7 linked regions of the Oryctolagus cuniculus genome follow. The protein of the gene in region 1 binds, or shares a complex with, the protein of each later gene. Links are inferred from orthologs where the notes say so. Each region holds a gene or a part of one and is shown in the gene's direction. Other genes may lie near its edges.

Region 1 (4,169 bases):
TGGCCCAAGTGCTTGGACCCCTGCACCCACGTGGGAGACCTAGATGGGTTCTAGTCTTTACTTCTGCTTTTATCAAGGTCAACACTCTAGTTCAGGCCCTATTCATCTCACATTTGGGCAAGTGTAGAACTCCTAGCAAGTCCCTGACCTTTTGCCCCTTGCAAACGCAGCTTCCATGGCACGGTGCAACATTCGGTACGGTATACTCTCAACTGGTACAAGAAAGCTACAGACTGCTCCAAACTACAGTTAAAGCAAATGAGAGTCACTTGGCATTGGTACCATGATATGGGAAGTGTCTCACCTGTGTGGTTCCCCCAGCAGGTCAGGTCTATTGACGCAGAGGTGGGGCTTCCCAGAAAGGGCCGGGCTCAGTCCTGCAAGCTGAGTTCCCCAAGGACTGTCTCCCCCACTGCCATGCTTTGAATGTGTCTGCCGCATTCATGCATCTAAGGAATGCACCAGAAGGAGCTGTCACACCAAGTCATATATCTGCAGCAGACAAGGAGACCACAAGGAGTCATTTCCAAAGCCGTGACTCTGTGAGCAGGGGAGAGGGAAAGATGAGCAGGTAAGAGGGAGGTTCTGATCACACCTGGGGGTGGGTACAGGTCCATGAAGGTACAGTTTGGAAGAATGCTCCAACACTGGCTGCACCATACGGCAGCACAGCTCACACTCCCCCTGGGGTGGAGCTCTTAGTGTTAACATGAAGCAAAAGGTGAGGTGTGGATACTCTGTGACCCGCCTGCGCCGGCCTTGCTCCTGCAGTAGGGTCCCGAGCAGTCCAGGATAGCTAGGGAACTGCATCTCTCTCTGGCATGTGACAGCAAACCTGAACTACATCAGGTGCCTTTGAGATGTGCAAGTAGAGATGAGTCAGTTGACAGTTTCTGAGCTGTGCAGGGCAGTGATAGGGAAAGGTGACTCGGCCCTTCTGAGTGGATTAATCCACTGGATTACTGGGGTAGCCCTGGGCAGGCGGTGGGTGTGTGGCATGGTGGCTAAGGCACTGCTTGGGACAGCTGCATCACAGGGCTTGAGTTCGAATCCCAGCTCTGCTCCTGATTTTAGCTTCTGCTAGTGAGCACCAGATAGGCAGCAGGTTATAGCTGGAGTGGTTCCCAGGTGGGAGACCTGCACTGAGTTCCAGGCTCTGGCTTTGGCCAGGCTCAGCCCCTAGTTGCTGCAGGCACTTGGAAAATCAATCAGCAGATAGAACTTAATCTGCCTCTCTAATAAAATGACAATATATAAATAAATTTTTAAATACATGGGAAAGTAGGACAAACCACTAAATAATCCCACAGAATTCAACGATCTCGGTAAACAGCTGACCACCTCACAACCTGAAAGGGAGCCCAGTCGCGCAAAGGATGCCGGGCCCCAGCCGCTGCAGGTCCAGGTAGCTCACCCGGCGTTCTCCCCGGCACCCGCCCCTCCTCGCGGGGCGTGTCCTCCATGACCCCACCCCTTCCGGAGAGCCGCACTCTGATTGGCCGTGACCCGTACGAAAGCTGGCCAATCGCGTAGGAGCAGCTGCTGCAGCGTCTCTGCGTGCGGGAGGAACATGGCGGACCGCCTCACACAGCTGCAAGACGCCGTGAACTCGGTAGGCGCTTTAATTCGCTTACTTGCGGTCTGCCTCATTCCTGAGGTAAAACGGGGGAGGAGAAGAGGCCCGAGACGCAGCCTTCGGCGGTGGCGAGCAGATGGAGGCGGTGCCTCTGCGAATTCGGGGCGTTCGAGGCCGGCCGCGGGGGCCGCGGAGGGAGCAGCCCCTTTGCCCGGCGGCGGCCTCACGGGGCTCGCCGGACACTGGTGCTGGGGGCGGGAGGAGAAGAAAGCAGACGCGGTTCTCTGCGTATACCTCGGCCCCGGGGCCCTGGAGACTGCGTCTCGGTGCGACGCCTTAGCCGGGCTCCGGTACTTCGAGGGGCGGGAGCAGGAGCGGTGGCGCCTGGAGAAGTTGTGTTCGCTCCCTCAGGCGGGGATGGCGAGAGCTGACGTCTGGAAGCTTGTGAACCTTGTGTCGGGCGTTGAGGTCCCTGGGTTTGAGAAGCGGCTCCCCTGGCGTTGTCCCTGGCGATGCTTTGCACCTGAGAGTGCGTGCGAGCCCTAGGCCCTGGGCTTGGAGCGGCCGCTGGCTGCCCTGCCTGCTGGGGCTGCTGTCCCCGGGCGGGTGCCTGGGCGGGCACTGTGATTGTTCACCCCCCAGCCCTTGAAGCTGACGAGCCGAGCGCTTGCAGAGCGCCAGCGTGCTGTGAACAGCGCGGGAGCTTGCGAGGCTGAGCGGGCAGCCACCGAGTGTGGGTGACATCCTGCCAGGCCCTCGGGGAGCTTCTACACATGCTGGTGCTGGATGGAAGCCTTCCTTCGTGGCCTGGCCCCTGGAGGCGAGGCAGGGCGGAGGGAGTGTGGCCTCTCCCCCAGGGGGAGGCCTGCTGGTAGCTGGGGTCTCCAGAGAAGCCTTCAGGGTACGCCATGAGCGCCTGCTGTGTCGGAGCCCAATCGTAGTTCCAAAGGGACAGCCTGAAGGGCATAAGGATGATGTCACATACTCAGGGGACGTTTAAATGATGTAAAAACACTATGGGGTTAGGGAGTTAGAATGAATGCGGTGTTTTCAGCTGTCAGTGCTGAGTAAATTGGAATATGGAGCCATGCGCCCTGAAATACTGAATTATCGTAATCGTAATTATTCATGTCGTGTTCACCATATTTGTGTTACGGCTGTTAGGTTTATGTTCGTTTCTTGCCGTGGAGTTTTTTTCAATCACTGTTTGTTGAATGAACGTCTAAATGGATCTTGAAAGCTTGTGAGGGACAGTACAGATAGCCACTGTGTTGAAGGGTTTTTTGTGCGTTTCCGCTGTTTGTCCGGTTAATCAAACCAGGATTAGAATCTAGGTTTATATAGCTTCCAAGCTCTTCCCCCTCCATTGCAAATAGCAAACCAGCAAACTGATAACTAGCGAGTAACTGTGAGGGAGTAAAATGTGAAAAATGTTTAGGAAGAGCTGGCTGAGATTATTATTGAAAAGTTGGAAACCGCTTGCTGACCGCAGTGGAGTGAGCCGGCGGTTTTTGTGCAGGGGGGAATACGATGGGTAACCAGAGAACAGTGAGGGCGCGATTGCAGTAATTCTGGCAGGAGGTAAGTGATGGAACAGAAGGGGGAGAATGAACCATCCGCGGGATAGGAAGCTGGAAGGCATGAGGCTCTGGAATGAGACTGGTTGGCTAGGACGCTCTCAAGACCAGTTAGATACTTATCCGGGGAGCAGGTGACTTCGAGTCCGGCCATTGCAGTCATGGCGGAGAAGGGCGGTGGAAATGCTTCCTCACTGATGGGAAATAGGACTTGAGGTCTGAGAGGTCAGGCCTAGTGAGAGGATTGGTGGGGAGCTGTGGTCCCTGGTTGAAGATGGTAAGGCACTGGTTTCTCAGTCTTGAGAGCTGCTGAAGGAATACTTTAACAACGCGAGCCTTAGCACTGCATTAGAAAAGGCACCTTATTTCCCCTATTTCTTTGCCTTGTGAACACTGAGATCTCAGAAAAGGAATTGTATATGAGTAACACTTTTTTAAATTAAATCTGGGGCCATACGTGGAAAGTCTCGTTGCCTGTAATATTGGCACAAAATTGTCTTTATCATTCTGTTAGCTTCAGAAGACAAGAAAGATGATACAAGTTTGCATGGGCTGCAAAATTTTTTTGCATAAAAATATATTGATCTTTTAATTCCATTTTTACTGTCTCATCTAGATTGATATCAACACCACCTAGGTTGATACTAAGTTTATTTGCATGGTTGAAATATCTAATCATTGTTAACACACTGGCTTGTTTTATCCGAAATTACTCCTTTCTGATTCACTCCCCTGCTCAGAGAGCATTGTTTTGGGAAACTTGTTGCCATTACCAGCAAAAGCTTTAGACTTGATAAACTTTGTATAATCCTGACCTGTTTTCTCTGGCCCAAGCTTGCAGATCAGTTCTGTAACGCCATTGGAGTGCTGCAGCAGGGTGGGCCTCCTGCCTCTTTTAACAACATTCAGACAGCCATTAACAAAGACCAGCCTGCTAATCCCACCGAAGGTAAACAGCTTTTCTTGGCTTCCCTTTATTTGATTCTCGGACTTCGTGTAATCCTTTAAATTAGATT
Region 2 (4,198 bases), about 57 Mb from region 1:
AAAAAAACACCATGGAAGCAACCCAAACTTCCATTATTGGATGAACAGATAAGCAGAAGGTGGTATAGACAAGTAATGGAATATCAAGCAACTTCAAAAAGGGAACTCTGACACTTGCTACAGCATGGATGAAATTTGAGGACATTTTGCTAAGTGAAATAAGCCAGTGACAAAACAGACAAATAATGTATGATTCCACTCACACAAAGAAGCCGAACTCACAGAAACCAGAAGGATGCTGCTTTCTAGGGACTCCCTGGGGCGTGGGGAGGAATGAAGCTAGATTTGTTTTATGAGGTGTGAATGTTGCAGGCATGCCAATCTCAACTTTTATTCCAAGTTTTTGTCCCTGCAGAGGTAAGAATTCAAAACAGAGCAATACATACAGAGCACGAGGGAGAAGACGATTTATTGAAAGAGTGAATATACATTCTCGTGTGAGTGTGGGCATCCCTGCATGGAGAGATGCTTGTCATGAGTGGGCCAGAGTTGCCTAGGAGGAGAGAGAGGGCAAGGAGACCAGAGAAGGACCGTAAGTATGCTCCTGAAGCCAAAAAAGCAAAAAAGGAGTGTTTCCACATTTATCAGTCCCTTTTGTGAGGTACTGGGTGGTGCTCTGATAAGTATGCAAACAGCATGGAGTTCAGTGTGAGGCAGTTTCATGGTGCCTTGGCTAGCAACTTACCTTCCACGTGGTCATTATGGTTCCCTTCCTTCCTGATCCCTGATGAGGCAGGTGCATCATGGGAAAGGGGGCACACTGGGTTGACAGGTAAGGGGGAGGAGTTGCCATGCAGGGTTATGCAGAAATTCTGAGAAACTATTCCAGCTCAACTCTTTCTACCTAATCTTCATGCCTAGTTCCCCCATCATTAAAAAGAGTTTTCTAGATGCACAATAGTGTGAACATATTTAACGTCACTGAACTACACACTGAAATAGCTAAAACCGTGACTTTTACGTTTTGTGTATTTTGCTACAATGAAAAAAAATAGGATCACAAATGGTTTTGGTTCCTGTGCTGAAAAGCTTACTGCAGCTTCCAAGAGCCATGCAACAGGAAGGTTAGAACAGCATCATGGGAATGCAGACTGCAGAGACAATCCTGGGGAGACACCAGTCGAGTTTATGAAGAAACGGACATAACAGGTAGGCAAGTAGGTAACTCCCTGAAATGCTCAAAAACCGTTTGGGAGAAGCCTTCCATTGCTGCTTGAAAAACCAGAAGGCCCAGAAGAATCGGACTGAATCGCCCCCTCCAGTCTCACTCCTTGGGCGCTCCCTGGGTATGTAATGGAGAAGCCCGGCTGGTCCAGCAGATGGCGCTAACGCCCATAGTGCGCCTCCAGTCGCCTAGGCGGCGCTCTGGCGGTACCGCTCTTCCCTACGTCTCGGTGACCCTTCCTTCCGCTTCCCGAGCCCGCCTCTTCTCCCACTAGCGCGGAGGTGCGCCTGCGCTGGTTCCTGGCCCTGGGGAGCATGGCGGCGTCTTCGAGTGGTGAGAAGGAGAAGGAACGGCTGGGAGGCAGCTCTGGAGCGGCAGGCGGTAACAGCACGAGAGAGCGGTTGTTATCTGCGCTTGAAGATCTGGAGGTCTTGTCGAGGTAATGGCGCCGGCCTGAGAGCCTGGCTGGGGCTGGGCTGGGGGACTGGCCCCGGAGCCCGCCGCCGCCGGCCCTCTGCGCTCATTCCTGGGTCTCGGCGGGGAGGCCTGAGCTTGGGAGTCCCCGGTGCTTGAGTGTTAAGGATATGGGGTCTGCAGATCTCTGGGACTCTGGGCAACACTTTTTTCTTTGCCGTCAGAGAGAATTTTAGTCATGACAGCCACCCTGGAAGTCCAAGACGGCAAGAGCCAGAGCGAACCTTAAGAGGTCTCGCGTTGGGAGACTGGCACTAATGGGCTGCCCCTTGGGCGCCAAGCACTAGGAGACTGTCGTGAAGGGGAGGCTGGGTGCCGACGCGGAGGAGCCCGGGGTCAGGGAGAGACAGGTGGGTAAACAGTGCTGGTGCGGGGCTCGTTCTTGTCCGAGCAGTGCGTTGCGGGCCCGGGAGTGTAGTCAGGGCAGGCTTTGGTTGGAAAGAATGAATTCATCGGACTCAGCAGGTGGCAGGGAGGTGACATAGTGTGTGCAAACCTTGGAAGTCGGAGGCCCCAGGCCCTGGCGGAGTTGTAAGGTGCTGGGGATGGCCGCAGAGCAGCATGGGAGACGGGATGGGATCTTGTTCTGCAGGCTCTCAGTTTTCACGGTCGTCTTTCAAGTCGGGGCCTTCCTGTCTTCTGTGGTTAACCTGGATCTAAGTTGTGTTGTTTTTGCAGCCTGCCAAAAGTTTCTACTTTCTTTTGTACTTGATATACTTTGTCATTTTATACTGCTGAGCACCATCGTTATTTTAAAAAGCATCTCGCATCATTCTTCTTAAAAAATACTCGATAGCCCGTATAAGCAGAGTCAGGCCCAGTGTCGGGTTTCTGTCAAGGAAAGACCAGATATATGATTATGCTGTGGTGGTCCCTTAGGATTATAATGGAGCTGAAAAATGCCTGCAGCCTCGTGGCCTTGTTGCCCTCTGTGCTCGTGTTTGTGGTGACGCTGGTGTGAATGGGCCCACCTGCTGCCGGGGGCGTGAAAGTGTAGCACATACAGTTACACACAGCCCCTCATTCCTTTTCTTTAAGGTTACTTATTTGAAAGGCAGAGTTACAGAGAGAGGGAGAGAACGGGAGCGAGCTTTTCCATCCACTGGTTCACTCCCCAGATGGCTGCAAAGACCAGGGCTAGGCCAGGCCAAAGCATGGAGCCTGGAACTCTGCCGGGGTCTCCTGCCTGGGTGGCAGGAACACAGTACTTGGGCTGTCTTTCGCTGCTCTCTCGGCACATTAGCAGGAAACTAGATAGGAGGGGTATCTGGGACTTGAACCCGGAGCTCATATGGGATGCCAGTGGTGGCTTCACTGGCTATGCCATGATGCCAGCCCCCGTCCATAATTCTTGATAATAAATGACTGTTACTGATTTATGTATTTACTGTGCAATACTTTTCATTGTTATTTAGAGTTTATTCCTCCTATTACTTAAAATTTAACTGTTAAGCAAAGTGCCACATTCTGCTGGGAGCAGCCTCCTATACCTTGTTTTTGCTGGGAACTGTTGATTGCGTCAGGCCACAGCAGGTGGCCGCTCCTGTCTGGGTTTGTGTAAGTACAGTCACCTCACCGTGCATTTGAGGGATGCCTGACTACTTCCCATGTCACCGCCAGCTGTACTTCGTCAGTGCCATTCCTACTCTATCTCTAGCTGGCTGAATGATTGAGTTGTCTTTCAGCATCTGTCTCAAATGTCACCATTTCCGTAGCCAGCATTCTGTGACAGCAAATGCCGATCTGCTTACACTCAAGATCAGTACTTTGTCTTTGCTGTGAATTTAGCCCTTGCTGTACCATTACTTACCAATGTTAAGTACAACATTTAGTGATGTAATGAAAACCTAAAAACACGCAGACAACAGAAGGTAAATGGCTTATAAGCTTCATCCACTGTTTACATTGTAGTAGGATCACAAACAGGGCACCTGGAATTTTCGGTCAGCCATTGCTCAGTACAGGAAACAAACTCACAGGCACCAGGCAGCTGTCCAGGCTTTGCCTCCAAGTGTTTACAGACGGAGCATGTCCATCTTCGCTGGTTTAGTAGTTTATGGTGGAAAACTTGTCAGTTCCCTCATTAGCCAATCCTCTTAACATCAACATCCACATTATTTCTTAGTTAACAAAAAAAACACACTAGCAAGGTATTTAGTATGATGTTTCAGTTAAATTATTCACGTGTCTGTTCTGTGTGACATCATCTGTGAGACAGCTAACTGAATGCTCATTTAGTTCCTGTTGAGTTCTCACTGTTTGTAGTTGCTCAGCTCCAAGTTACCAACATAAAAGCTGCCTAGCCACTGCTGTTTTTTTTTTATTTTTTTTTTTTTATTTTTTTTTTTATTTTTTTTTTGACAGGCAGAGTGGACAGTGAGAGAGAGACAGAGAGAGAAAGGTCTTCCTTTGCCGTTGGTTCACCCTCCAATGGCCGCCGCTGCAGCCGGCGCACCGCGCTGATCCTGGCAGGAGCCAGGAGCCAGGTGCTTTTCCTGGTCTCCCATGGGGTGCAGGGCCCAAGCACCTGGGCCATCCTCCACTGCACTCCCTGGCCAT
Region 3 (4,126 bases), on another chromosome or scaffold:
ATTTCATCTTGTAAAGTGACATTTTTCAGTACATTTCTTTTTGGAACATATATGTGCATACATGTAAATATATATGTGCTTACATATTTTTAGATGTTTCCCAAACTGGTGATTCTTTGGAATTAAAACACTACTGCTGGCCGGCGCCGCGGCTCACTAGGCTAATCCTCTGCCTTGCAGCGCTGGCACACCGGGTTCTAGTCCCGGTCCGGGCAGCAGATTCTGTCCCTGTTGCCCCTCTTCCAGGCCAGCTCTCTGCTGTGGCCCGGGAGTGCAGTGGAGGATGGCCCAAGTGCTTGGGCCCTGCACCCCAAGGGAGATCAGGATAAGTACCTGGCTCCTGCCATCGGATCAGCGCGCCGGCTGCGGCGGCCATTGGAGGGTGAACCAAGGGCAAAGGAAGACCTTTCTCTCTCTCTCTCTCTCACTGTCCACTCTGCCTGTCCAAAAAAAAAAAAAAAAAAAAAAAAGAATGCATTGTGGGTGCTGGCGCCGGCGGCTCACTTGGCTAATCCTCCGCCTGCAGCGCTGGCACCCTGGGTTCTAGTCCAGGTCGGGGGGCTGGATTCTGTCCTGGTTGCTTCTCTTCCTGTCCAGCTCTCTGCTGTGGCCCCGGAGTGCAGTGGAGGATGGCCCAGGTCCTTGGGCCCTGCACCTGCATGGGAGACCAGGAGGAAGCACACCTGGTTCCTGGCTTCGGATTGGTGCAGTGCGCCGGCTGTAGTGGCCATTTGGGAGGTGAACCAACGGAAAAGGAAGATCTTTCTCTCTGTCTCTCTCACTAACTCTGCCTGTAAACAAAACAAAACAAATAACACATTGTGGGGTAGGGCACACCAGTTTGCGTCCCAGCTACTCCACCTCCAATACTGTGCCTGGGAAAGCAGCAGGTGGCCCAGGTCCCTGGGCCCCTGCATCCACGTGGGAGAACTGAAAGAAGATTCTGGCACCTGCCTAGACATGGTGCAAGCCGCGGCCCTTGCAGCCACTTGAGTGAAGCAGGGTGGCAAGGCATCTCTTTGTCTCTGGAACTGCATTTTACATAAATAAACCGTTTGTCTGCTAGAAACTAAGAACGCTTGATAGATGGAGTCAAAATCATGATTCACTTCTCTTTCCAAGCGCAGGAAAAAGGGAAGTCAACAAATCGTGTACTTTGTTATAAAGTCATTATGTCTTTTTGGATACCTGAAAGATGGACCACAAAATTATAAACTGGGCGCTTGCTCCAAGATCTCTCCATTCAGCAAATCCAGCGAGAACAGAACACAAAGGTTGCGCGGGTTCCGAGCCGGAACCGGCACGAAACTCTCGCGAGAGCTTTCCGACCGACGCAAGCCCTCCCGAGGACTTGTTCCCGTCTGACGCCTCGCTTCCTCAACTACTGCAGGACGGGCCGGAACTTTTGTCTGTAGGAACGGGTTTACTGGTTGAGTGTTGCCAGCCGGCGTCAAAAAGAATAGGGATCCATCCTCTTCCTCTCGCCGTAGCCGCCGCTGAGCCAAGCTGAGCTGATCCGATCTAGGAGCGCGGTTACCGGACGGGCTGGGTCTATGGTCGCTCCGCGGGCCGCTCCGCCGGCTGGTGCTTTTTTATCAGGGCAAGCTGTGTTCCATGGCAGGGAACTTTTGGCAGAGCTCCCACTAGTAAGTGATCTTCCGCGTTCTCGGCCGGTGCTGGTTCTTAGGGGTTGGTGAGAACGGGGCCTGCAACTCCCCTCCGTGTGGATCCCGGCGCCGGTCCGCGGCGCCGGTGAGGTCCCAGTGGGAGGCGGCAGCAGCGGGAGTGAAGTGCGCTTGTCTGAGGCGACTCTCCTCCCAGGCTGCCGGCCGGGATTTGCGGGAGAAGGATCTGTGAGCGGGAAAGCTGGGGGAAGGAGGTTGAGTGGGAGAAGGAAGGTTCAGGACTTTGATTTGGATCTGGGATTAGCTAGTCGGGTAGCACGAGGTGTGCACAGGTAGGGGAAGTGTGAGGTCGGGACCGTGAGGCAGCCTGTTCGCAGAGTCGTGGCTTCCTTTTCTCCGGGGTTTCTTCAGGATATCGGCCTCGTGGTACTTTGCCATTTACCTTCTGTGTCGAGTGGGTTTGATATTAATCAGAGGATAGGCGGGAAGCAGGCTTATTTCTAGCTCGTGATCGGTTCCAGTAACTATGCCTAGGTGGAGTTTCATGTTCTAAAAATTTATCCATTTCCTTATCTGTGTCTTACATTTTATCTTAAAACTGCATTTCTCATTGATTGTAATGAGTAAATTTGTGTTCTGTCAGCGACCACGAGCGTGTTAGAGTGATACAAAAACTTTGTCCCTAAATACGTTTGTTTAAGCAGACGGGAAGGTGCGTGTTAGACCTACTTGAACATTGACTAGGCTTTCCTTTGTAGTGCAAAAATGAACTGAGCTTGATAAAGGTATCTTAGTGTAAATTTTTCATTCTAAGAGCATTAGTAAATGTATCTTACGTTTTGTTTCTGTGAATAGAATCGGTTTTTATTCATTTTTTAACCATTTGCATAAGAAAAACAATGGGCTTGTTAACTTTCAGAAAAGCCTTTTCTTGTTGTACAGTCGATCTATGAAGTGCTGTAGAGGCTTTCCTCCCTTTCATATTTTTGTTTTACATTGTTGTCACTGAAATATTTTCTTGGGCAAAGTTAAAGTTTACAAACGGTAAATAGTGGAGAAGAGATTCTGTTTGAAAGAAGCTGAGAGAATTTACAGGTAGCTAGCTGTTGATTGTCACTTCTTCAACTTAAAAAGATAGTGCTCCCCTTCCTCTTTTTTAAGGTGAAAAATCCTTTTTTAAAAAGTGCTTTTATTTACTGTTGGCATTATAAAAAAGTTATCCTTTCACTTTTTTTTTATTAAAGGTTTATTTATTTATTTGAAAGAGTCACACAGAGAGAGAAGGAGAGGCAGAGACAGAGATAAGTCTTCCATCTGGTTCACTCCCCAGTTGGCTGCAACAGCCGGAGCTGTGCCAATCCGAAGCCAGAAGCCAGGAGCTTCTTCTGGGTCTCCCACATGGGTGCCAGGGGCTCAAGAACTTGGGCCATCCTCCACTGCTTTCCCAGGCCATAGTAGAGAGCTGGATCGGAAGGGGAGCAGCCAGGACTTGAACTTGTGCCCCTATGGGATGCTGGCACTGCAGGCGGCAGCTTTACCCACTATGCCACAGTGCCAGCCTCAATCTTTCACTTTTTTTTTTTTTTTTTGCCAGGCAGAGTTAGACAGTGAGAGAGAGACAGAGAGAGAGTTATAGACAGTTCCTTCCTTTGGTTCACTCCCCTAATGGCTGCTACGGCCAGTGCTGCACCGATCCGAAGCCAGGAGCCGGGTACTTCCTCCTGGTCTCCCATGCGGGTGCAGGAACCCAAGGACTTGGGCCATCCTCCACTGCACTTGCGGGCCACAGCAGAGAGCTGGACTGGAAGAGAAGCCACCAGGACTGGTACCCAGCGCCCCAACCGGAATTAGAACCCGGGGTGCCGGCACCGCAGGCAGAGATTAGCCAAGTGAGCCATGGCGCCGGCCAATCTTTCACTTTCTGAATACAAAATTAAACATGCTTTTTAAAAATTGTCTTTGCCTCCCATTTAAAAGAGTCTTGGTTGTCTTATTCTTATACCTTGAGAATCATGGAATGTCAGATTTTTGAAGGGTAATGAGCAAGAAAAACAAGATAATTCCAGATAAACAAGATTATAAAAGGCCGTCGTTTTAGGTGAATTTAATGAACAAGGGGGCAGAAGTTCTGTTTCAAGCCTCTTAAGATGAACTTTTTCGGCCGACGCCACAGCTCACTTGGCGAATCCTCCGCTTGGGGTGCCGGATTCTGTGCCGGATGCTCCTTTTGGAGTCCAGCTCTCTGCTGTGGCCCGGGAAGGCAGTGGAGGATGGCCCAAGTCCTTGGGCCCTGCACCCACATGGGAGACCAGGAGGAAGCACCTGGCTCCTGGCTTTGAATTGGCGCAGCGCGCCGGCGGCCATTTGTGGGGTGAACCAATGGAAAAGGAAGACTTTTCTCTCTCTCTCACTGTCTAACTCTGCCTATCAAAAAAAAAAAAAAAAAAAAGATGAACTTTCTCACATCATTTCTGAACTCAGCATGCCATTTTTTTTCTACT
Region 4 (3,500 bases), on another chromosome or scaffold:
CCGGAGGCCGCGGGCAGCCACGGCCACACCCTGACCTGCCCGCCCACCCGCCCAGGGCTGGCCCTGGCCTTCCAGGACGGCAGCGTCCACATCGTGCACCGGCTGTCCCTGCAGACCATGGCCGTCTTCTACAGCTCCGCGGCCCCGCGCTCCGTGGACGAGCCGGCCATCAAGCGCCCGCGCACCACGGGCCCCGCCGTCCACTTCAAGGCCATGCAGCTCTCCTGGACGTCCTTGGCCCTCGTGGGCATTGACAACCACGGGAAGGTGAGGGCCGACAGGGCCGGCGCTTGGCCCAGACCCCCCCCCCGCGGGGCCCCGCCCCCTCCTGACCGCCCCCCCCTCCTGACGCCCCCCCCCCACAGCTGAGCCTGCTGCGCGTCTCGCCCTCCATGGGCCACCCCCTGGACGTGAGCCTGGCCCTGCGGCACCTGCTCTTCCTGCTGGAGTACTGCATGGTGACCGGCTACGACTGGTGGGACGTCCTGCTGCACGTGCAGCCGGCCATGGTGCCCAGCCTGGTGGAGAGGCTGCACGAGGAGTCCACGCGCCAGAGCGCGGCCCTGCAGCAGGTGGGGCGGGGGGCGCGGGGAGACCGCGCCGGGACAGCCGGGCGTCGGCCCGTCCACGGCTGCGGTTCGAGGCCGTGGGTGACGCAGCCAGCGTCCGCTCGGTCCCTGCCACCGCGCTGGCACTGCGGGACGGGGGGGGGGGGCCCCAGCCAGCGTCCGCTCGGTCCCTGCCACCGCGCTGGCACTGCGGGACCGGGGGGGGGGGGCCCAGCCAGCGTCCGCTCGGTCCCTGCCACCGCGCTGGCACTGCGGGAACGGGGGGGGGGGCCCAGCCAGCGTCCGCTCGGTCCCTGCCACCGCGCTGGCACTGCGGGACGGGGGGGGGCCCAGCCAGCGTCCACTCGGTCCCTGCCACCGCGCTGGCACTGCGGGAACCGGGAGGGGGGGGCCCAGCCAGCGTCCACTCGGTCCCTGCCACCGCGCTGGCACTGCGGGAACGGGGGGGCCCCCAGCCGTGCGCTGCCGGGAGGGAGCTCACGCCGCCCGCCCCCAGGTGCTGTCCACCCGCATCCTGGCCATGAAGGCCTCGCTGTGCAAGCTGTCGCCCTGCACGGTGACCCGCGTGTGCGACTACCACACCAAGCTCTTCCTCATCGCCGTCAGCTCCACCCTCAAGTCCCTGCTGCGCCCCCACTTCCTCAACACGCCCGACAAGAGCCCCGGCGACCGGCTGGCCGAGGTCTGCGCCAAGATCACCGACGTCGGTGGGTCGCCGTGCCGGGCGCTCGCGCCGCAGGACACGCTGTGGGCCGCCGGGGGTGGGGGGTGCGCTCGCCGGGCTGGCCGGGTGGGTGGTCCGGCGTCCCCGGCGGAGGGCCGGAAGGGGCGGGGCCGGAGGGGCGGGGCGGCGCGGCTCCTCCCCCGCCCGCTGGCTCCGGCGCGAGGCCCGCCTGCCTTGCAGACATCGACAAGGTGATGATCAACCTGAAGACGGAGGAGTTCGTGCTGGACATGAACACGCTGCAGGCGCTCCAGCAGCTGCTGCAGTGGGTGGGCGACTTCGTGCTCCACCTGCTGGCCAGCCTGCCCAACCAGGTGCGCCCTGCGCGCACGCGCACACGCACGCCGGGCATGCCCCCCCGCCCCCCGCCCCCGGCCGCTGCAGGGTGCACCCGCTGTCCCCGCAGGGCTCCCCGCTGCGGCCGGGCCACAGCTTCCTGCGGGACGGCGCCTCGCTGGGCATGCTGCGGGAGCTCATGGTCGTGACCCGCATCTGGGGGCTGCTGAAGCCCAGCTGCCTGCCCGTCTACGCGGCCACCTCCGACACCCAGGACAGCATGGCCCTGCTCTTCCGGCTGCTCACCAAGCTCTGGATCTGCTGTGAGCCCCGCCCCCGCCCCCCCCCCCCGCGGGCAGCCGCTCGCCGGCCACCTCCGTCCCCCAGCGTCCGGTTTCTGGGGACCCGGCCTGGCCATTCCTGCGCCCCCACGGGGCTTTCCAAGTGGACGGGTGGAGCCGGGGCCGGAGCGGGAGAAGGGACTGCCCAGGGCCCCGGCCACCAGCCAGGCGGGCGAGGGCGAGCCGTGCCCGGGGCAGACCCGACTCGCATCCCTGCAGGCCGTGACGAGGGCCCGGCCAGCGAGCCGGACGAGGCCCTGGTGGACGAGTGCTGCCTGCTGCCCAGCCAGCTGCTCATCCCCGGGCTGGACTGGCTGCCGGTCAGCGACGGCCTGGTCAGCCGCCTGCAGCCCAAGCAGCCGCTGCGCCTGCAGTTCGGGAAGGCGCCCACCCTGCCCGGCAACGCCCCCACCCTGCAGCTGGACGGCCTGGTCAGGTGCGTGCGGGTGCCGGGAGCGCTCGGGGCAGCCGCGCTGCGTGTGGGAGCCCAGGTGCCCGTGTGTGTGTCCGGGTGCGGGAGTCCCGGGGGGAGGGAGGGGGTCTGGCCCTGTGTCCCGGGGACCCGCGCCGTCCACCTGCGGCTCCTGCCCTGCCTCACGCGCCCCCTTGGCCCCAGGGCCCCCGGCCAGCCCAAGATCGACCACCTGCGCAGGCTGCACCTGGGTGCCTACCCCACGGAGGAGTGCAAGGCCTGCACCAGGTGAGCCCTGCCCCTGCCCGCCCCCCCCCGGGGGGCTGCAGGGGAGGGGGCGGCCCCGCCCCCATGGCGCAGGGAGCAGGGCTGGGGGTGGGAGGGGTGGCGCTGGATGGTAGGGGGCGGGGCCGGCGTGGGGGCGGCGGGGTGGTCCCCGGAGGCCTCACCCCGCCCCGCCCGTCCGCAGGTGCGCCTGCCGTGAAGCAGTGGGAGGAGGGGTGGGGGTGGGAGGGGTGGTGCTGGACGGCAGGGGGCGGTGGGGGCGGGGCCGGCGTCGGGATGGTGTTGGGGGCGGGGCCGGCGTCGCGGTCCCGAGGCCTCACCCCGCCCGCCCGCCCGCAGGTGCGGCTGCGTCACCATGCTGCGGTCCCCCAACAAGGCCACGGCCGTGAAGCAGTGGGAGCAGCGCTGGATCAAGAACTGCCTGTGCGGGGGGCTGTGGCGGCGCCTGCCCCTCAGCTGCCCCTGACCCCGACGCGGGCGCCCCGCGGAACGTCCCGTGAGCGGACGGAGCCCCCGACAGGGCGGCCCGCCGGCCAGGGCCCTGCCCAAGATGGCCGTCCCGTGTGACTGCCCGGGTCGCCTGTGCCTGTGGGGGAGGGGGAAGGGCTGGCCCAATAAACCCCCCACAGCTGTGCCCGTGTCCCGCCCCTCACTCGTGCCGGGGCCCCGCCCCCCCACGGCTCTTCCTGCGGGGCGCGGCTCACTGCCCGGCCCCCTCCGCCTCACAGCCTGGCAGCCAGGGGGTGACCGCCCCGGGGCAGGGGGCCCTCGCAGCCCTGTGTGGTGTGTCTCCTGGGTTCTGTCACCGCCTCCCCCACACCCCGTCTCGTCCCAGACCCACGGGAGCTGAGCGTGGGCGCTTGGGGAAGCCACGGGGGAGACCTGGGACAGAT
Region 5 (3,500 bases), on another chromosome or scaffold:
TCTGGATTTTTCACTCAAATTGATTTTTAAAAGAGATTTATTTATTTATTTGAAAGAGTCATAGAGAGGCAGAGAAAGAGAGGGAGGGAGGGAGGGAGGGAGGAGTTGTGGGGGAGAGAGAGAGAGAGAGATGTCTTCCATCTGCTGGTTCATTCCCTAGATGGCCACAACGGCCAGAGCTGTGCCCATCGAAGCCAGGAGCTGGGAGTTTCTTTTGGATCTTCCTTACTGGTGCAGGAGCCCAAGGACTCGGGCCATCTCCTTCTGCTTTCCCAGGCCATAGCAGAGAGCTGGATTGGAAGTAGAGCAGCTGGGACACAAACCAGCATCCATAGGAGATGCTGGCATTGCAGGTGGCAGCCCTACCCACTGCATCACAGTACCAGCTCCTCAGATTGTTTTTTTAGTTTAAATTAAGGTACTCAGATATGTTTTATAAAAGCCATTTGATGGGGCTGGCTGGCACAGTGGGTTAAAACCCCAGCCTGCAATGCCTGCATCCCATATGCGTGCCAATTCAAGTCCTGGCTGCTCCACTTCCAATCCAGCTATTTGCTATGGCCTGAGAAAGCAGTAGAAGATGGCCCAACTCTTTGGGCCCTGGCACCAGCGTGGGAGACCCGATAGAATTTCCTGGCTCCTGGCTTCACATCAGTTAAGTTCTGGCCGCCTAGGTCATTTGGGGAGTGAACCAGTGGAATGGAGTACTTTCTCTCTCTCTCTCTCTCTCTCTCTCTCTCTCTCTCTCTCTCTGGCTCTACCTCTCTTTGTAACTTTTTTTTTTTTTTAAAGATTATATTTATTTATTTGAGAGGTAGAGTTACAGACAATGAAAGGGAGAGACAGAGAGAAATGTCTTCCTTCCATTGGTTCACTTCCCAAATGACCACAATGGCTGGAGCAGCGCCGATCTGAAGCCAGGAGCCAGGTGCTTCTTCCTGGTCTCCCATGCAGGTGCAGGGGCCCAGCACTTGGGCCATCTTCTACTGCTTTCCTAGGCCACAGCAGAGAGTTGGATTGCAAGAGGAGCAGCCGGGACTAGAACCGGCACCCATATGGGATGCCAGTGCCGCTGGAGGAGGATTAACCTACTGTGCCACGGCACCAGCCCCTTTAACTCTATCAAATAAGTAAAATAAATTTTTTTTATAAAAAGGACCGTTTGAGAAATTCTTAACTGGAAAAGTCTCAGTCTCTGGGTTTAAGTATTTTTTCTTTAAATTGAGTATTTTTACTAATAATTACTTCACTAACTTTTGACATTTAAATAAAAAGATAATCTTTTCTTAAGTGTTTTCTTAAAATATGTCTTTTTAACTAGGAACTGATGAATCTCCAGAACCACTGCCAATCCCCACGTTTTTGTTGGGTTATGATTATGATTTTCTGGTGCTTTCTCCATTTGCTCTCCCTTATTGGGAGAGACTTATGCTGGAACCCTATGGATCTCAAAGAGATATAGCCTATGTTGTACTGTGTCCAGAAAATGAAGCCTTGTTAAATGGAGCCAAAAGCTTTTTTAGAGATCTTACTGCAATATATGAGGTAGGTATTGTTTAAAAAAAAAAAAAAAAGTGGCATTTTAAAACTACCTTATGATCTGTATGCTTATATGGAAAGTATAGTGGGAAGTTTCAGTGAATGGGGCAGAGTAATGATGATGTCAGACCAGGTGTTTACTTCTAACACTAGCCAGTTAAATCCTTTGGCAGTTCTAACTCAGTCTCTTGGCTAGTTTTGTGTAGAAATCTGTTTTTGGGGAAAAACATTGAAGGCATATATGAGGATACTTCAGAAATTTTATGTAAAAATGAAATTAAAAGTTGTTTATTTTGGGGTAAAAATTGTGCAATTCTTGTGTTTGCAGGATCTTCAAAAAGTTCACAGAAAATATATTATTATGAAAAATGTATATTTCAAAATTTTTTGCATGAAAAATAAACTTAACCTTTCCACTCCATTTTTCCATGAAAATTTTGAAATACCCTTATATATTTTATTTAAAGTAACCATGTCTAAAACAATTTAAAGCATTGTTAAATAGCTAGGAGAAAAAAATTAACCTCTGTAAAATTTCTCGTACTGATTCTATGGGACGGGTTGGGGAGGGTCTGGCTCACGAGCCATATAAAGCCTGTGAAATCATTTGGTTTGGCCCTGCTGAAGGCAACCAGAGGCAGCACTTGAAATTCAGTAAATCTCTTAAGTTAGAATTTTCATGTTGTATCCATCTCTGTGCACAATGATTGTATACTTTAAGAATTACGCATAGGACATAAGGTTTTACTGTATTGCAACTTTTTTCCACAAATATATGAAAATCCAGTCTGTACATTTTTAGTTTCTTTAACTGAATTTGTTAGTGTATACTAGTTTAGTTTCCTTGTAAGTTTCTTTTTAATACCAGTGGATCTGCTGTATATGTTTTATAAATAAACATTCCCCAAGGAGTGTTAATTAAATACAAGTCCTAAAAAATCCTCCCAGCAAGAAGTTCCATAATTAAATAGATTTGGGAAAATCTTGTGTATTATATTGAACTTTCAGTGATTCACAGTAAATTTCCTACTCCCGTGTTATAAACTTATTTGTCATTGAGCTTCTTAGAAAATTTGGTGGCCCACAGAACTAGAGGGAGAGCTGGGAGAAACTGTATTTCAATACCAAATTTTAATTTACATTGAATATGTATTTATATACATGAATTGGCATAGATGTATGGCTATAACAAAAAATGACTGCTTTTTGCATCATTCTTTATTCTGTAAACTTTGATTATTCAGAGTAAATGGTTTTAGTGCAGTATTATTATTTAGATACTTTTTCATTAGGGGTGTCTAAGTTTTCACAAAATTTAATGAATCTCTAAAGGAAGAAGACTAGTGGTGCCATTTCACTACTGATATTGTTATATAAAATGCTCATTATAAATAAGATTATTTAAAATAGCATAAATGCTTTAATATACTAAATACTGTAGTACATTGACTTTTTTGCTTTCTGTATGTATATTTATAGTCCTGTCGATTAGGTCAACATAGACCGATTTCTCGACTGTTGACGGATGGGATCATGAGAGTTGGATCTACTGCATCAAAGAAACTATCAGAAAAGTTGGTAGCAGAATGGTTTTCTCAGGCAGCTGATGGTAACAATGAAGCATTTTCTAAGCTCAAACTTTATGCACAAGTCTGCAGATATGACCTAGGTATTCAATTTGTTTTTATTCTGTAAGACCAGTATTAGCCAAGTGTGGCCTTGTCCACCAGCTATTTTCATAAATAAAATTGTAATTTGATCACAGTTATCTTCCTTTATTTGCATATTGTCTGTTTTTGTGCTACAAATTTAGAGCTGAGCAGATGTAACCGACAGTGTGGGTTGTGAGGCCAAAAGTACTTATTATCTGAATCCTTACAGAGAGAGTTTACTAATCCCTCATGTAGGGTTCCTATCAGGCAGGAGGAAATTTTATTTAAAGACTATTTTCTATGCTTTTG
Region 6 (4,286 bases), on another chromosome or scaffold:
CGCGGCGGCCATTGGAGGGTGAACCAACGGCAAAAGGAAGACCTTTCTCTCTGTCTCTCTCTCTCACTGTCCACTCTGCCTGTCAAAAAAAAAAAAAAAAAAAAAAAAAGAATCAGTAAGCTCACCACAGACTGCAACTCCCAAGTCTAAGGACTGGGTTGCAGCAGTTTTATGGTAGCCTCTGGGGCTTTATGACTTCTCCTGGCCTGAGCCCCTATTCCAGGGGATGGCCCGGTTCACTGCCCTGCCTTTACATGTAGGAGCCCGAGTATGGACTGGAAATGGCAGATGTTCTGCTCCCAGTAGTAGACACAATTGGGCCATCGCTGGCCTGCTGGAAGACCCCTTTGTCCTGCTGGGTAAATCACTGACTGCAAGGCAGGGTCAAAAAGCAACAGACACCCCCCCCCCACACACACACACACACTGTCCAGGGGAGGGCACGGCCTCCCACCCTCCTCTGGAGCCTCTCCCAGGCCTCTCCTCTCCCAGCTGCAGCGCGTCTCCAACTGGGCACCACTGACACGTTAGGCCCCGTGATTCTGTGGTTTTGGTGCTGGGATCCCTGGCCTCTACCCACGACTTGCCAGCAGCACTCCTTGTACCTAACACAAACGTCTTTAAACATCGCCAAGTATCCCCTGGGGGACAAAATCCTCCCCCCCCCCTCCAGGATGAGAACAACTGTTCTGCAGCCCACACGGAAGGCAGAAGGTATTTTAAAAATGCGGTTGCATCATGTCAGTCCTGTGCCGAAAACTATGCAGCGTGTTCCTGTTAGACTAGAACCTGAGTTCCCGTGGTGACTCAAAGGCCCTCTAGAAACTGGTCCTGCCTGTTGCCGTCCCCTCTCTGCCTCTCACACACGAAGCTCCCAGCTCTCCCTTCTTCTCTCGGGGAACGTTGCAAGCTTGCTCCCACACACCCTTCGCACTTCTCTTCCTCCGGCCTAGGGTGCACTCCGCTGAGACCCCCGGGTGGGGGTGGGGCGCTCGGTGTCACCACACAGGTCTCAGCTCCACTGTGGCCTAACCAGCAAGGCCTTCCCCGTCCATCCCTCTATACCACCACTCTCCGCCTCTTTGCCCGTCAGCCCCGCGTGCGGGCTTTGTCACGCGTGGGGAGGCCCAGGGCGCGGCTCGCGCAGGAACCCAGGAACCGCGGCTGGGCTGTTTCTCACACCGACATGTGGGCTGCCTCCAGGAAGCCAAAGGCGACTGGGGGACCCGGCTGGACACAGTAGGCAGCCTCGCCTCCAGCCGCTTTGACGAGGCCCTGAGCACTCGGGAGGGCACGAGGGCGCCGCTTCCTGGAAGGCGAGGTGTCCACACTGGGGTGAGGACGGCTTTCCCCCAAGGGCCGAGGCCATTCTATAGGTGTTGAGGGGACCGCTCAGCACACCTCTACGCTACGTCACGAGGTGAGAAATGACGTCACAGTAGCGACCTGCCTCCTAGGCGGCAATGCCACTACACGCTGACGTGAAACACCTCCAAATACGGCGCTCCCCGGGCCGCAGCGCCCGGCTCAGGAGCCCGAGCGGGCGGAGCCAGCAGCGATGGGCGGAACCGCTGTCCTCCCAGCGCGGCTGGGCCCGCCCCCGTATCCCACAGTGCCCCGGGGCCGGAAGCGGGGTGCTGAGGCTTCCGGAACTTCCCCAGCCAGACTGGGCAGAGTCTCTGCCGAGCTGGTGAGAGTTCGCGTCGTTCCTTGTTATGGCCGCCGCCGTCGCCATGGAGACAGGTGAGTCGCGCTCTGAGCCGTGCGCTCCGCCCGGACCCCTTCTCCTGCCTGCCCGGGGCCTCCTTCAGGCCTAACGGAAGGGGCTTGGAGTGGGACCCGGGAGGCGAGAGGGCTCTTGGAGCATCTGGGAAGGTGCCGGCAGCTTTGCCTTTTTCAGAGTTTGGTGGCTTCGCACATGTTTTCTCCCCGCTTGCTGTTCACTCAGCGACCCCACCTTCGTCCCAGCGTGGGTGAGACTGAGGGACAGCACTGGAATCTTTTCTTTAAAAAAAAAACAAAAACTAGTATAAAGAGAACAGATTGCATAGGTACAGTTCCAGGAGACCCATACTTCCCTCTCTCCTCCTCCCCCCACTCGCGTTCCCTCCCCTACTTTTCATTTTTTTTGTTGCCAAGGCATAAATTTGATACAGTCTATAATAACGGCTTATTTCACCACGAACCGTAATATAGAGCCAGTCAAAAGTAGGAAGACCACCAGGAGCATAAACAGGGGCTGAAAGTGACAGTCGTGTCACCAGACAGCACTTGGGTCTGCTTCCGCGGGAGCTTGCATGAGTTTGGGGCGCCCTGGACCAACTTGCGTTATCCTGCCACTGATGCTGCCATTCGGGGTCTTCCGGCGCTCCGCAGTCTCCTAGCTCGCACTCGGAGCTCCTCACCGCCATCGACAGTAGCTACAGTGTATTAATAAAATACAGGGAGGTAGACTGTCACCCCATACCCGGTCACTCACTGCTGAGATGGCTCCAGTGACCCACCGAGGGAGGTCTCCTGCCGCATCTGTGTTCCCCTTGTCTCTGATGACTTCTCTTCAACGTTAGAGGGGTTTCTAGCTGCCTTAATCAGAGTTCTCCTTTTCTTAGGTTCCTAAGGAATTATGCCTCCCAGAAGTGTAGCTCAGCATTACGCAGGTTTCCTGGCTGCTGTTTCCTTTCGACCCATCGGTGTTGTATTTAGCGACCTTTGTCTTGGATGATTTTTGCTGTCTTCTCTCCTAGATGATGCTGGAAATCGACTTCGGTTTCAGTTAGAGTTGGAATTTGTACAGTGTTTAGCCAACCCAAATTACCTTAATTGTAAGTTGTTCACCTAATTAAATTGAATAGCTATTAATGATTTTTTGACAAGAGTTGCATTTCCTAATAGTATCTACTTTTATATATTCTCAATTGAATAGAATTGCACTTAAAGCAATTCTGTAGCTGTAACTGAGCAAACTAGGACTTGTGGGCTGGTGGTAGTCCAAGCATCCGTCTGACCTAGGTTTTGTTTTTTTTTTTATGCCTTTCAGTTCTTGCTCAAAGAGGTTACTTCAAAGACAAAGCGTTTGTTAATTATCTTAAGTACTTGCTGTACTGGAAAGAACCAGAATATGCCAAGTATCTAAAGTAAGTTTAATTTTTTGTAATCCTCGGTGTATGTATGTTTTACTAAAACCCAAAACGTGGATACGTAAATACTTCTTAGTTTCACACTGGTAAAAATGTATGTTGAATCTGCACGTTCTGCGCGTTCGGTTGTCACTGCCTACCTCTTAATTTGGATTCCTGCAGAAATCACTCACTGTTGGCTCTGTTTTCTGCTCTTTCCTCACTACCTCACCCAAAGCCAATAAAGCAACGCGATTTTCTACCCAGAAGCCGATGTGGTCCCTGGGAACTGTAGCTTAGAACATGCTGTCTGTTCCTTAGACCTGGGGGGCCCTCCCTTCCTGGCAGTGAAGTCTGCGGCCCGGCCGCATCTGGCCCAGTCTTCTTGACCTCCTCTCTACCAGTCTCCCCATTTCTCTGGGTTTCTGGTCTGAAGGACTCTGGTCCTCACATGCAGCAACATAGCCATTGACTGATAATAAAAGATCACACAGAAGTACCTGTGAGGAAGATGTGGAGGATGTCACTGTGTCTTCCAGCAGCGATCTTTGTGCCCAAATGCTTTGCATTCAATAACTAAAAAACACTGCACACTCACAACTGTTTCCGTACACATGCCGGTCCTTCAAAAAGTAAATGGAAAATGGATCCAAAAGACGAGTTTGTATTGGTGCAAAAAACTTTTGGAGTCCATGTGTAAGGGATTTCCAGAAGTTCTTGAAAAATTGTGTAATATGAAATAACCAAGTATAGACTACAAGCTTTTTATATCCAAATAAGCTTTTAATTCAGGTTTTTCCACAAACTTTTTGAACTACGTGTATGTGTGTTTGCCATTCAAGTTGTTCCAGAGACACTTTGACTTGAAGGCCAATTACATTTGCAAGGGGCATATTATGACCAGAAACCTATTCCCTTTCAATGCGGAAGGCTGCACTTACTACTTTGCTTAGTATTAGCCAGGTGGTTGGAAAGCAGTGGTGAAGCTTTTCAAATTTTTTGAAAAATTATTTTATTTGGAAGGCAGACAGAGGGAGAGAAAGAAGTCGCCCATCTGCTGGTTCACTCCCCAAATACCCACAGCAGCCATGGCTGCGCCAGGCCAGAAGCTGGGAATCAGGAACTCAGCTTGCATCTCTCATATGGTGGCAGGGACTCAAATACTTGAGC
Region 7 (4,085 bases), on another chromosome or scaffold:
CAGGTAAGGTATACTATTTGTATTTTTTTTTTTTTTTGACAGGCAGAATTAGACAGTGAGAGAGACACAGAGAAAGGTCTTCCTTCCGTTGGTTCACCCCCCAAATGCCTGCTACGGCCGGCGCTGCACCAATCGGAAGCCAGGAGCCAGGTGCTTTCTCCTGGTCTCCCAGGCGGGTGCAGGGCCCAAGCACTTGGGCCATCCTCCACTGCCTTCCCGAGCCACAGCAGAGAGCTGGACTGGAAGAGGAGCAACCGGGACAGAATCCAGCGCCCCAACTGGGACTAGAACCTGGAGTGCAAGCGCCGCAGGCGGAGGACTCGCCTAGTGAGCCGCGGCGCCGGCCTATTTGCATTCTTACACACATTCCTCACTGTTCCCATCTGTTGGTATGTTCTCCAACAGTGCTGGGCATCTCTACCCAAATCTGGGATTTTATGCTCAGATTTTCTAACTCCAAAAATCTGCTACTCTCAGGCGTATGTACAGCACTTGACCTATCTTACTTTTCAGTTTTCTTTTCTGAAAATGAGAATGGATATTGTGCAAACGTGAATGACACAATGTATGTAAAGTTGCTTGCATGGTCCTTGGCATCTGACAGAGAGAGCTTAAGCCTTTTCTGGCTTCACACACGTGATTCTCACAACAGACTAACAACAAAGAAACAGAATCCAGGAAGTTAAGACTTGCCCCAGGCTTCAGAGAGAGCTAAATAGCAGCGCTAAAATCCGAACTGGGTCTCACTCCGAGCCAAGCCCCCCCCCCCCCCCAATAAAACCAAAGCTGCTTTCCCCATCATGAGTGCTAAAACTAAATTAACTCGTGCTGTTTACTGCACGCCCGTGTCTGAAGACACGCACCGGCTGCTGCCGTCCAGCGCACTGAAACCGCGACAGGAACCAAATCACAGGGTTTATTAACACCACTGTCACTAGGTCAAGTCGGCGACGCGGAAGAGATTTCAGTAAGCACAACAGAGCGAGCGAAGCATTTCTCCTCCAGCCTCCGGAGGAAAGAACGGACTGCGGGGATGCGGGGCTGCAAGGGTCCCTGCCGACGCTACGCGGCCCGGCCGTCGGCCGGCCAGGAGGCCGAGGTCGCGCCTGCCCGCACCGCCCGCTCCTCCCGCTCGGGTCTCAGGGCCCAGCTCTGCGCCCGCCCGCCCCTCACCTCAGGCTCCGGGCGCTCCGAGGCCATCACACAGCCTTCCCGCGCCGGCCCGGGCCAGTGAGGCAGATCCACTGTGACCCCTGACCTGGCTACCTCAGTACCGGGCCGGAACCGGAAGTCGGTGGGCGGGCCAAGCCCCGATTTCCTTGATTGGTGGACAAAACCCTCAGAAACTGGGAAACCGGAAGAGGAAGTGGTTGCGGCTGCCACGGCTGCCGCAATGCAGGTGAGAAGCGGGGTGGGCCTAGTGGCAGCTAGCTGTCTTTGGGTAACGCAGCGAGAGTGGGCTGGCTGCGGAGAGTTAGGAGTTGGACCGAAGAGGAGAGGGCGGAGGCAAGAGGACGCGGGGCCAGGGCAGAGGGGAGACGAGGCCAAGTGGAGAAGCGGCGCGGATGCTACGTGGGGGCGGAGTCCGCTGACAGGGGAGAGACTAGCAAAGTCGGGAGGGCGGAGGCAGCCGCCGCTTGTTTGGGGCTGGGAAAGCATCAGGATGTAGTTTGCGAAAGCCGAGATACAATCCAAGGGAGACGGCCCGAGAGAGACATGAATTGGCTCAAGCCTCAGCCTAGGCTGTTGGATGCAGACGTAACGGCGAATCTGCAATCGGAGAGAAGCCCGAAGGGTGAAGGAATTGTGGGCCGAGCTGGCCAGAAGCTAAGTTGTTATCAACTGAAACCTTGGGTGAAACCCAAGATGATGCTCCTGTCAGGCGCAGTGTGGGGTTGGCATCATTTTTCCCAGTCTGTGCCTGAGAGTTATTAAGACGGAGGAAATGAAGTAAAACGGAAGATACCCCCCCACACCGTGGGAAGGGAATGCCTGCAGACCCCCACTACTTGACATTGCTTGTCATGTGAGCTGGGTGGGTGGTTTTGCTTTTCACTTGTCGCTTTGCTTCTTGGATGGGGCAGTGTTTCAGTAAGTCCTTCTGGGTCAGCTGAGCTTGTGAAAGAGGCACAGGAATATTGGCACAGAAATAAAGGAGAAAGTTGAAACATCACCCACTAAGCACGAATGAGGAGCGAGGGGCAGGGGCGTGCAGAACTAGGGTTCAGAGAAAGCTTCATGTCCAGGCAGATTTCGCAGGGGCTGTGCTGTTGACAAGAACAGGGCAGATTCTAGGACGAAGGAAGCTAGGGCACACGTGCCACAGAAATGTGCATAGGATGATGAATCCCAGGCATTATGTCTGGCAGGAGTTTCTCAACAAGGGAGAGTAGGGCACGTGCAATACAGAGGAAAAGCAGGCCTGGATTTGGAGGTGTGAGAGCGAGAATCAGTTGGTAGGAGGACTTAAGGTCAGGTGAAAGGTCTAAGGGTTGGTGCTGTCTGTAACCCAAATACCAAAGATAGAAAATAACCTGGCTGTCATTCCAGTGAGATCCGGTGTTAGCCAACTGCGGTTGGCATACTCTCTCCGACGCTTTTCAGCCTTCTTCTAAAGGTGTCATGCTCATATCTCTCTGGGTAACCAGCCCATCTCTGTTGGTGCAGAGGGAGGAGAAGCAGTTGGAGGCGTCATTAGATGCACTGCTGAGTCAAGTGGCTGATCTGAAGAACTCACTGGGAAGTTTCATTTACAAGCTGGAGAACGAGTATGACAGGCTAACCTGGTAAGGGTTGCCAGGGCAAACTGGGGAGGGCTCCTGACGAGTAGTTCATCTCTGATGATGTAACCATTTATCAGTTTGCAGATGTCGGGTAATTTGGAAAGAGCTTGGTTTCCCAACATTTAGTAAGTGAAGTTTGGCTGAGGGCCTCCGTGGCAAGGAAGTAGAGAGCGGCCCAGTTTCCCAAGCCACGTTCTTTCTTTCTTTCTTTTTTTTTTTTAATTTTATTTTTATTTATTTGAAAGGTAGAGATATAGACAGAGAGAGACAGAAAGGTCTTCCTTCCGTTGCTTCACTCCCCAAACAGCCACTACAGCCGGCGCTGCGCTGATCCGAAGCTAGGAGCCAGGTGCTTCTCCTGGTCTCCCTTGCGGGTGCAGGGGCCCAAGCACTTGGGCCATCCTCCACTGCCCTCCTGGGCCACAGCAGAGAGCTGGACCGGAAGAGGAGCAACCGGGACTAGAACCTGGTGCCCATATGGGATGCTGGCACCGCAGGTGGAGGATTAACCAAGTGAGCCAAGGCACCGGCCCAGCCACGTTCTTTCTAGCTTTTGATTCTTTTTTTTTTTTTTTTTTTGACAGGCAGAGTGGATAGTGAGAGAGAGAGACAGAGAGAAAGGTCTTCCTTTTGCCGTTGGTTCACCCTCCAGTGGCTGCCACGGCTGGTGCGCTGCGGCCGGCGCACCACGCTGATCCGATGGCAGGAGCCAGCTGCTTCTCCTGGTCTCCCATGGGGTGCAGGGCCCAAGCACTTGGGCCATCCTCCACTGCACTCCCTGGCCACAGCAGAGAGTTAGCCTGGAAGAGGGGCAACCGGGACAGAATCCGGTGCCCCGACCGGGATAGAACCCGGTGTGCCAGCACCGCTAGGTGGAGGATTAGCCTAGTGAGCCGTGGCGCTGGCCGCTTTTGATTCTTACCCTTTTCATCTCTGGTCAGGAGTTCTCTCTCAGTGGGTCTTCCCACTATATCTCAGTCCATGCTGGATCTCTTGCCACTAATGTGGCTGTCTTTTAGATCCAGCCTACTGCTGAAGTATGGCTCCTGTTTCCCGGCAGAAAGGAGGCTTTCACCCAGTTTCTGATTTTTTTTGTCATAGAATAGCCATGGTTCCTGTTTTCCAGTGTTTCTCACCCCATTCAAACAATGAACTGCCTTTTTCTGCCTCCGTCAGGAGCTGAAAGCGTGTCCCTCTTTCCTAACCCCGCATTCCTGTTCCAGGTCTGGGTCCTGCCGAGGCTCGTGATGGGGATGAGTCTTTTGGGGGTCAGTCTCAGTTTTCCTAATCTGAGGACTTGTC

What was found.
Region 2: MED21 (region 1) and MED4 share a complex: the UniProt entries of both Homo sapiens proteins name them as parts of the mediator complex. The link is inferred for Oryctolagus cuniculus from reciprocal best matches to the Homo sapiens genes MED21 and MED4.
Region 3: MED21 (region 1) and CCNC share a complex: the UniProt entries of both Homo sapiens proteins name them as parts of the mediator complex. The link is inferred for Oryctolagus cuniculus from reciprocal best matches to the Homo sapiens genes MED21 and CCNC.
Region 4: MED21 (region 1) and MED16 share a complex: the UniProt entries of both Homo sapiens proteins name them as parts of the mediator complex. The link is inferred for Oryctolagus cuniculus from reciprocal best matches to the Homo sapiens genes MED21 and MED16.
Region 5: MED21 (region 1) and MED13 share a complex: the UniProt entries of both Homo sapiens proteins name them as parts of the mediator complex. The link is inferred for Oryctolagus cuniculus from reciprocal best matches to the Homo sapiens genes MED21 and MED13.
Region 6: MED21 (region 1) and MED31 share a complex: the UniProt entries of both Homo sapiens proteins name them as parts of the mediator complex. The link is inferred for Oryctolagus cuniculus from reciprocal best matches to the Homo sapiens genes MED21 and MED31.
Region 7: MED21 (region 1) and MED8 share a complex: the UniProt entries of both Homo sapiens proteins name them as parts of the mediator complex. The link is inferred for Oryctolagus cuniculus from reciprocal best matches to the Homo sapiens genes MED21 and MED8.

Annotation. Positions count from the first base shown.
Region 1 is NC_091440.1:124,254,533-124,258,701, forward strand, and holds the start of MED21 (mediator of RNA polymerase II transcription subunit 21), read left to right. Parts: upstream 1-1,369; 5' UTR 1,370-1,570; coding exon 1,571-1,612; intron 1,613-3,987; coding exon 3,988-4,102; intron 4,103-4,169. UniProt on the Homo sapiens protein: Component of the Mediator complex, a coactivator involved in the regulated transcription of nearly all RNA polymerase II-dependent genes.
Region 2 is NC_091440.1:67,125,663-67,129,860, reverse strand, and holds the start of MED4 (mediator of RNA polymerase II transcription subunit 4), read left to right. Parts: upstream 1-1,398; 5' UTR 1,399-1,479; coding exon 1,480-1,604; intron 1,605-4,198. UniProt on the Homo sapiens protein: Component of the Mediator complex, a coactivator involved in the regulated transcription of nearly all RNA polymerase II-dependent genes.
Region 3 is NC_091436.1:72,156,737-72,160,862, forward strand, and holds the start of CCNC (cyclin-C), read left to right. Parts: upstream 1-1,326; 5' UTR 1,327-1,614; coding exon 1,615-1,646; intron 1,647-4,126. UniProt on the Homo sapiens protein: Component of the Mediator complex, a coactivator involved in regulated gene transcription of nearly all RNA polymerase II-dependent genes.
Region 4 is NC_091447.1:58,469,058-58,472,557, reverse strand, and holds the end of MED16 (mediator of RNA polymerase II transcription subunit 16), read left to right. Parts: intron 1-55; coding exon 56-267; intron 268-365; coding exon 366-572; intron 573-1,065; coding exon 1,066-1,276; intron 1,277-1,473; coding exon 1,474-1,607; intron 1,608-1,699; coding exon 1,700-1,892; intron 1,893-2,129; coding exon 2,130-2,346; intron 2,347-2,526; coding exon 2,527-2,610; intron 2,611-2,946; coding exon 2,947-3,073; 3' UTR 3,074-3,241; downstream 3,242-3,500. UniProt on the Homo sapiens protein: Component of the Mediator complex, a coactivator involved in the regulated transcription of nearly all RNA polymerase II-dependent genes.
Region 5 is NC_091448.1:35,497,117-35,500,616, forward strand, and holds part of MED13 (mediator of RNA polymerase II transcription subunit 13), read left to right. Parts: intron 1-1,321; coding exon 1,322-1,545; intron 1,546-3,018; coding exon 3,019-3,208; intron 3,209-3,500. UniProt on the Homo sapiens protein: Component of the Mediator complex, a coactivator involved in the regulated transcription of nearly all RNA polymerase II-dependent genes.
Region 6 is NC_091448.1:49,926,482-49,930,767, forward strand, and holds the start of MED31 (mediator of RNA polymerase II transcription subunit 31), read left to right. Parts: upstream 1-1,486; 5' UTR 1,487-1,715; coding exon 1,716-1,743; intron 1,744-2,744; coding exon 2,745-2,822; intron 2,823-3,037; coding exon 3,038-3,134; intron 3,135-4,286. UniProt on the Homo sapiens protein: Component of the Mediator complex, a coactivator involved in the regulated transcription of nearly all RNA polymerase II-dependent genes.
Region 7 is NC_091438.1:129,634,664-129,638,748, forward strand, and holds the start of MED8 (mediator of RNA polymerase II transcription subunit 8), read left to right. Parts: upstream 1-1,285; 5' UTR 1,286-1,393; coding exon 1,394-1,399; intron 1,400-2,648; exon of another isoform or gene 2,649-2,667; coding exon 2,668-2,786; intron 2,787-4,085. Other genes in the region: KICSTOR complex protein SZT2, read right to left, coding at 1,174-1,200. UniProt on the Homo sapiens protein: Component of the Mediator complex, a coactivator involved in the regulated transcription of nearly all RNA polymerase II-dependent genes.